Callithrix jacchus: one gene and its partner. The protein of the gene in region 2 interacts with the protein of the main gene of each other region in a biochemical or structural test. Links are inferred from orthologs where the notes say so. Each region holds a gene or a part of one and is shown on either strand. Other genes may lie near its edges.

Region 1 (4,074 bases), on a different chromosome or scaffold from region 2:
GTCCCGGAAGTAAAAACCCTTCTTTGTTTTTGTTTTGTGAGGCAGAGTCTCACTCTGTCTCCCAAGCTGGAGTGCAGTGGCACGATCTCGGTTCACTGCAACGTTTGCCTCCCGGGTTGAAACGACTCTCCTGCGTCAGCCTCCTGAGCACCACGCCCAGCTAATTTTTTGTATTTTTAGTAGAGATGGGGTTTCACCGTGATTAGCCAGGATAGTCTCGATTTCCTAACCTCGTGATCCACCCACCTTGGACTCCCAAAATGCTGGGATTATAGGCCTGAGCCCCCGCGCCTGGCCTATTTATTTATTTTTTGGGACGAAGTCTCACTCTGTCGTCCAGGTTAGAGCGCAGTGGCGCGATCTCGGCTCACTGCAACCTCTGCCTCCACAGTTCAAGTGATTCTCCTGCCTCAGCCTCCCGAGTAGCCAGGATTACAGGCGTGCACCACCATGCTGGGCTCCTATTTGTATTTTAGTAGAGACAGGGCTTTGACATGTTGGCCTGGCTGAAGTGATCCGCCCGCCTCGGCCTCCCAAAGTGCTGGGATTACAGGCGTGACCCACCGCGCCCGGCCCTCTTCAGCTACTTTTTCTGAAGCCAGAGAGTTAAAGGATCTCTAAAGTTTTTGTTTCCCGTCTCTGAACTACTTCACTGGTCTCCCCGAAGCAGTTCCAGTATTGGCCGGGAGAGGGAGCAAAAAAAAAAAGTAGTCCTGTTTCCTTTTCCTCCAAACGGCTTTCCCAGTGAAGAAACCCGCGAAACTAACCGAGGGGGCGGGACTAAGCTCTGCGCAGAGCCGTCAAATCCGGGCGTGGACCCCGAGCTGTCACGTGAGTGTCCGCGGTCAGCTGACTGCGCCGGACTTCCGCGGCGGGGGGCGCACAACGCGAGTCGAGGGCTTCTGCTGATTGGTGAAGGAGGATTCAGCTTCAGCACCGTGGGGCGGGGCCTCGGCGGTGCGAACTGCCATTGCCTTCCGCCGTTGCCTTCCGCAGGGGCACCGTTCGCGGGTGTGTGCGCATGCGTTGAGGTCTCGGGACGCCAATTGGGGGGTCTTGAGTCACTGGCGGCGTGCGGCAGGTTGGGGCGTGGTCGCCGGAGCGGGCGCCGCGCTACGAGGCCGCTGGTTGGCCAGCGCGAGTCACGTGGTTCCGGGCTGCAGCAGCGCGCACCGGTGCGACGTCAACGCAGCAGGTCGAGCTTTCCCGACCTGTTTTCCGCGGCCCGGCCGCGGCTGAGTCCTCCCAGGGTCGGGGTTGAGCGCCTTGTTGAGTCTCTTTGTAGTCGCCATGGACAATTCCGGGAAGGAAGCGGAGGCGATGGCGCTGTTGGCCGAGGCGGAGCGCAAAGTGAAGAACTCGCAGTCCTTCTTCTCCGGCCTCTTTGGGTGAGAACCGGGCTCAGGGGTCGGCCGGGACCTAGGGTGAGAGGACGAAGGAGTCACGGCCGGAGGCGGCGGGTTAGGCACGCAGGGCTCGGGCCGAGGGGACGGAGAGGAACCTGGAATGAGGTGATATGGTCTGAGGCGGCAGAGGGGACACAGACTGAGGGCCAAGGGCTCGGGCCGGGGCAACACGGTTTGAAGAGAGACGGTCTGACATGGCGGAAGGGACATGGGCTGAGGACACACGGGCCAAGGCGACACTGTCTTGAGGCGAGAAAGGGGACTCAGGCCAAAGACAGGCCAGGGGGCCGAGGGAGAACCTGGACCGAGGGAATACGTCCTGAAGCTTTGGAGGGGACTGGCCTGGGGGGGACGGAGGGAATCCGGGAGAGTAGGCAGGTCGGAGGCCTTTCGGAGCTCTAGGGGCATCTGTCTGAAGGCTCTCAGGCGGCGTGATGGGTCCTGGGACTGAGGACGCCCTGCCCGAGGGACTGACCTTTCCAGTCCCCCAGGGCAGTGGATTTGTGGGGGGTCCTGGGCAGTAAGGGTGATGGCTGAAGGAGGCTGACACCAGACGGAGGGTCTCGGGAATTTGGTGATCCTAGGAGTGGTGAAACACATCTGAAGTGTGTGTTGGGGGGTGCCTAGGTTGAGTCCGGCCCTGGTTAGCAGTGACTAAAGACAGCTGAACCAGGGAACCCGCATGATGGAGCCAAGAGTGAGGAGGTCCCAATACTTTGGGAAGCCGAGGTGGGCAAATCACTGAGGTCAGGAGTTGGAGACCAGCCTGACCAACGTAGTGAAAACCCTTCTCTGCTAAAAATACAAAAACTAGCTGGGCCTGGTGGCTGGTGCCTGTTATCCCAGCTACTCGGGAGGCTGATGCAGGAGAATCACTTGAACCCAGACGGCAGAGGTTGCAGTGAACCGACATCACACCGTTGCACTCCAGCCTGCGTGACAGTACGAGACTGACTCCATGTCAAAGAAAAACAAAAAGACTGAGGAGGCCTGGGTTGAGGCTAAAGACTCCTGGGTGGGGGAACACATGGTGGTGGCTTGGCCAAGGAGATGGAGGGGTAACAGGGCGAGACAGAGGGACAGAAAGAACCAAAACGGGGGATCAGAGGCCTGCTGTGTGATCCTCAAGTAATGGTGATGATGATGACAGGGACATGGTGAGAAGACGGATGGGAAGAGGCTTGGGAGACAGAACTAATGCATATGGCATGGCATAAAACTCGCATTCGCTCCTAAAAGCGACACAGCCATCCTCTGAGAAATTCTAGTGGCTTAGGAGTGTCAAGAGGCCAGGTTTGAAATGTGGCTCTGCCACTTCATGACCTTGGGTAAATTGTTCAGTCTCCCCATTAAAGGAGACCTCGAACCAAACCTACCTGCGATTTGCTGTATTAGGATTGAGCCTGGCATGGAGTTAACGTCTCTGAACATGTTAGCTGTTGTTAATGTGACTTTCCAGAAGGAACAGATTTGGAGCGTGCAGAGGGATGAGGGGTTCAAAGTTAGTGTGAGCGGAGAGGTCTGGGAGGGGTCAGAAGAGGGAGAGATGGAGAAGCATGAGTTTGCTAAGAGGAGCTGAAATAAAACACAAGAGGGACCCAGGAGGACTTAATAGGGTGGAGAGGCACATGAGACTCTGGGCAGAGGAAGTAGAAGGGAGCTGGGGAGGGTTTGGCAGGGGGTGGGAGGTGGGGAGTGAGATCTGCGCTGATGGGGGGTCCTGAAAGGATCAAGGGGAGGCTGTGGGAACAGAGAGGAGGCTTGGGAAAGGACTAGTGGGCTTGTAGAGAGGATGATGTGTGGTAGCCACTCAGAAGCAGAGCCTGGGGAAGGTGGTAGGACTGGGAGCGTCTGCAGAAGGCTGGAGAAGGGGGTTGGGGGGAGGGCCTGGGGATCGGAGGAGACCATGGTAGGAAGCTGGCAGAGGCTGGTAAGACACGAAGTGGAGGGATCTTTCCAAGAGAGGAAAGAACGGGAAAAGGCTCTGGGCCTCGCCCCTTGTTTGAGGTTGGATAATGTTTAGCAAAAGAACTTGAAGAACATGACCGGGAATTGCCTGGTGTGGGGAAACATCCGGGGCTGATGGACCATATTGATTAGGTGAAAAATGTTTTCTTTTAGAGGCTGAGAGGAGGGAGAGGGGGTATGTGTGTGTTTTCTTCATAAGGGGAGAAGTTCAAGTGCTGTGTTTGGGGGTGGGACCACGAGCTGGGTTTTTGGTGATGGTTTTCCTGGGTGGCTCTGAGTGTCTGTTCCCTTTGGCCCAGGGATTGGTGGGTACTGGACCGTGTGCTTGGAGGGAGCAGCTAAGTCAGCCCCAGGGCACTTGCTACCTGGTTGGGAAGGCAAGATGAACACCAAACACTAGTAAAGCAGAATTACGGTAAGGAAGGCCTCGATTATGTCATCCGTGTGAATGGCTGAGCTGAGAGGAAGCAGCGGGAGCTGCATGGAGGCTTCTGGTGAGGAGTGAGCTAGGCCCCAGGGAACGCCCAGGACTTGCTAAGGGAGTGGGGCCGGGGAGGGTGCTCTAGGCAGCAGGGATGGTGCTGCCGAGGTCTAGCGTGAGGAGACGTTCTGCCTGGAAAGACGGGGAACTGAAATCCAGAGGGACCAGAAATGGCTTCCTGGGGGAGAGGGCCCAATCCTGGGGAATGAACAGGAGTTC
Region 2 (3,644 bases):
AAAAAAAAATTTACTGAGGTCCAGGCATGATGGCATATACCTGTGACCCCAGCACTTTGGGAGTCTTAGGCAGATGGATCACTTGAGCTCAGGAGTTCAAGACCAGCCTGGGCAGCATAGTGAAACCATGTCTCTACAAAAAATGCAAAAGTTAGTTAAGTGTGGTAGCATGTGACTGCAGTCCCAGCTACTTGGGAGACTGAGGTGAAAGGATCACTTGAGACTGGGAGGTTCAAGCTGCAATAAGCCGTGATCATGCCACTGCACTCCAGCCTGGGAGACAGAGCAAGACCCTGTCTCAAAATAATAATAATAATAACAATAAAAGTTTACTGAGCACCCTACTAAGTGTTGGCTTGTTCCAGGGGCTGTAGACTCAATAGTGAGAGCCAAGGTCTTTGAACTCATAGGATTTGATAGGGAGAGATTTATCAGCTAAATTGTATGTCAGATAAGGACAAGAAGACACAGGATGGGCACATGGAGGGGTGGAGTTCCAAAAAGAGGAAAGGTACATTGCCAGGAGACATGAGAAAGTCCCAAAGAAGTTTCATCTGTCTTTGCCCAGGCAGCAGCCTGGGGCTCAGTTTTCTACGTGATCCTAGATGCTTCAACCTACAGTAGTTTGCATGAAATTTCTAGGAGCCCAGCCAGGGAAATATACACAGAGCCCAAGTCTAGACTGCACAACTTAATTAACTTGTCCCTTAAAACAGTCTCCCAGACATCTTTTGGTGTATGTGTGGTCGCTTACTGACTTCTGAGGTACAACACCATCCCTTCTCCATCAATAACCTGGCGATGTGATCTTGGAGAATTCACTGACAACCTGTCACACACATAGTATCCTCATCTCCAAAATGAGGAGGCAGCACAAACACTGCTCTTTGAAGTCTTTTCTAGTTCTAAGATCTAGTGGCTCCCTAAATTAAAATTAACTTTATGATCTTTCCTTCTATTGTTGAATTTTAAGAAGTTAAAAAGTATTTATAAGTGATCAATCTCAGAAGCAGGTTGGTAATACCAAATCAAGTTGGGAAATAATATAAGAAAATTATAACTTCAATTAACTAAAACCTTGGCAAAGGAAATACTGAACGCTCTTGGTGTATCCTGAAGCTCTGTTCTGTCTGAGTCATGTGGAGAAGGAAGTACCTTACCTGTAAGGACATCTCGATCAACATTAGTAACTTCTTGATTCCTATCCAGACCTTCTTCCCTTTGACTTGCTGTGCAATTGTGGTGCGCTCCTTATCCTTGAAGTTGCCCAAAAGCTACAAAAACAATAATCAAAGCACTTTTACAATAAATGCATCAACAAGGGTTAATTCTATTTACTTTTAAAAGAAGAGTGATAAGAACTACCTAACTGTTAAAATCCAGTCTGACCTTCCTAAACCCATTAGGGTCAATCATAAAAGTGAAACTGGTATCTTAAACCCTGTTTTCTTATGGACCTCCATTCTAACTTAGAGATATATATGCTGGGGTAAAAACAGCTCCAATCCATAATAAGTATGTTAAAATTTTTAACATTCTTTTCTAGGAACAATCTGTATGTGTCAAAGCAAACTACCTTTAATTCTCTTACCCGGCTCCTGCACAAAAGTTGCCTAAACAGGTAATCCGAAAACGTTTATCATATAGATACATTTCTATTTTTGTTGGGGTCCTTGAGGACTTTAAGAAGCCTTACTGACTCTACCACTGCTGAATAACTCAGCAGATAGTATTTGCCAATAGAGCTCACCAAGTCATTTGTGAATACTGGTATTAAAAAATTAAATGAAGAATATTAAAAGAAATAACTGTCATTTTCAAAAAATTAAGAAAACATTCCTATTTCTAAACTTGTTATTTTTTACTTCTATAGCTTTTTTTTGACAATTCTAAGGCTTTAATCATTGTTCCAATTTACCAAATGCAAGGAAATGCACCGAAAGCTGCGCTGAATGATTAATTTCTCTATACTGTGATCGCCTCACCCCCACACCGCCACCCACTCAAGTTTCTGGTCCAAGTAATCTACATGCATCACTCATGCTGGACACAGAGCAATCCACTCCTGGCATTTTGTAGGCTGCCCACCCCGAGGAATGGGAAATTAATTCACTGTCATGTGTCCTCTCATTCCTGAAAACAACTGGAGGTATGGGTTGAGTATCCCTAATCCAAAAAATCTGAAGTCTAAAATGCTGCAAAGTTGTAAACTTTTTGAGTGCCAACATGCCATTCAAAGGAAATGCTCACTGAAGCATTTCAGATGTCCAGATTAGAGATGCTCAACCTAAATATAATGCAATATTCCAAAATCTGAAAAAATCTGAAATTTAAAACACTTGTGGTCCTTGGCACTTTTTGTTGTTGTTGTTAGACAGAGTCTTGCTCTCCTGCCCAGGCTGGAGTGCAGTGGCACAATCTCGGCTCACTGCAACCTCTGCTTCCCAGGTTCAAGCGATTCTCCTGCTTCAGCTCCTTGAGTAGCTGGGAATACGGGTGCCCACCACCATGCCCGGCTAATTTTTGTATTTTAGTAGAGACAAGGTTTCATTATGTTGGCCAGGCTGGTCTCAGACTCCTGACCTCAAGTGATCCACCTGCCTTGGCCTCCCAAAGTGCTGGGATTATAGGTGTGAGCCACCACGCCCAGCCTAGTTCCAGGCATTTTGGATAAGGGATACACAATCTGTAATATCCCTGGGTCCCATGTTCTAGATTAGTGTAAAAACCAAACACCAGGTGTAATGACTGTGATACAGCTCAATTCAGCCTCAATTTCTTTCTTATAAACAGTGTGCAATGTATTGACTCATTTTCACCTCCAAAGCTTCCAATAGCTGCTCTCCGGTGGCAATGTTGGGCACATGAATGGTGGTGCTGAAAGCATTAAGCATTTCCATCTCCTGAAGGACATCTTTGCGGCTTGTGGTCCCAATGATAAGAAGCTTCCGGCCCTGATCAAAGGGAGAAATGTTAAAATGTATATAATAAGACTAATTAGGAAACTAGAATAAGCTTGAACAAAGTTTGCAAAAGCCATTTATTTAATCTTGCAAATGCAAATGATTAGGCAAAAGAGAACAAAACAGCTCAGGATTTTCCTGAAAATTCTGAGTAAAGGTACCAACAACATGATTCAGAAAGTGGCAACATGCGAACAGCTCCTTCTCATTCATGTCAATAAAACAATGGATTAGCAAATCAGGGAGATACACAAACCAAAGGGCAAGATACTGACATGTATGTAGGTAAGTCTTTCATGAGACATGGCACATGTATGGTGGGAATTGGGGAAAAAAGATGACATGAATAGAAAGTATGTGGCGCTGGCTTCATTAGTACACTTTTCAGGAGGGCAGGGCAATAATAGTTGATGTTTATGCAACGCTTAACTGTGAAAGGTGTCGGCTAAAGTGTTTTCCATAATTGTCACATTTTATATTTTTCATTTTTTACTTTTAACCCTGAAATATTAAAAAAAAAAGTTTTAAAACTATGCCAGGCTTATGCTACCCATTTGCAGTTCCCTTTGTCCAAAGGCAACAATTTTCAACTCTCTTAGCTTTTCTTCTTATAGTTACTTCTTTATCTTTAAATGATAAGGTTACATTACTAGTTTTAGACTTCTGTTTTCCCTATAAATA

Evidence for each region.
Region 1: the proteins of NSF (region 2) and NAPA form a complex in vitro, tested with the Homo sapiens proteins (2 studies listed by BioGRID). The link is inferred for Callithrix jacchus from reciprocal best matches to the Homo sapiens genes NSF and NAPA.

Annotation. Positions count from the first base shown.
Region 1 is NC_133523.1:41,452,641-41,456,714, reverse strand, and holds the start of NAPA (alpha-soluble NSF attachment protein), read left to right. Parts: upstream 1-1,139; 5' UTR 1,140-1,290; coding exon 1,291-1,388; intron 1,389-3,673; exon of another isoform or gene 3,674-3,789; intron 3,790-4,074. UniProt on the Homo sapiens protein: Required for vesicular transport between the endoplasmic reticulum and the Golgi apparatus. Together with GNA12 promotes CDH5 localization to plasma membrane.
Region 2 is NC_133506.1:86,216,752-86,220,395, forward strand, and holds part of NSF (vesicle-fusing ATPase), read right to left. Parts: intron 2,955-3,644; coding exon 2,820-2,954; intron 1,275-2,819; coding exon 1,161-1,274; intron 1-1,160.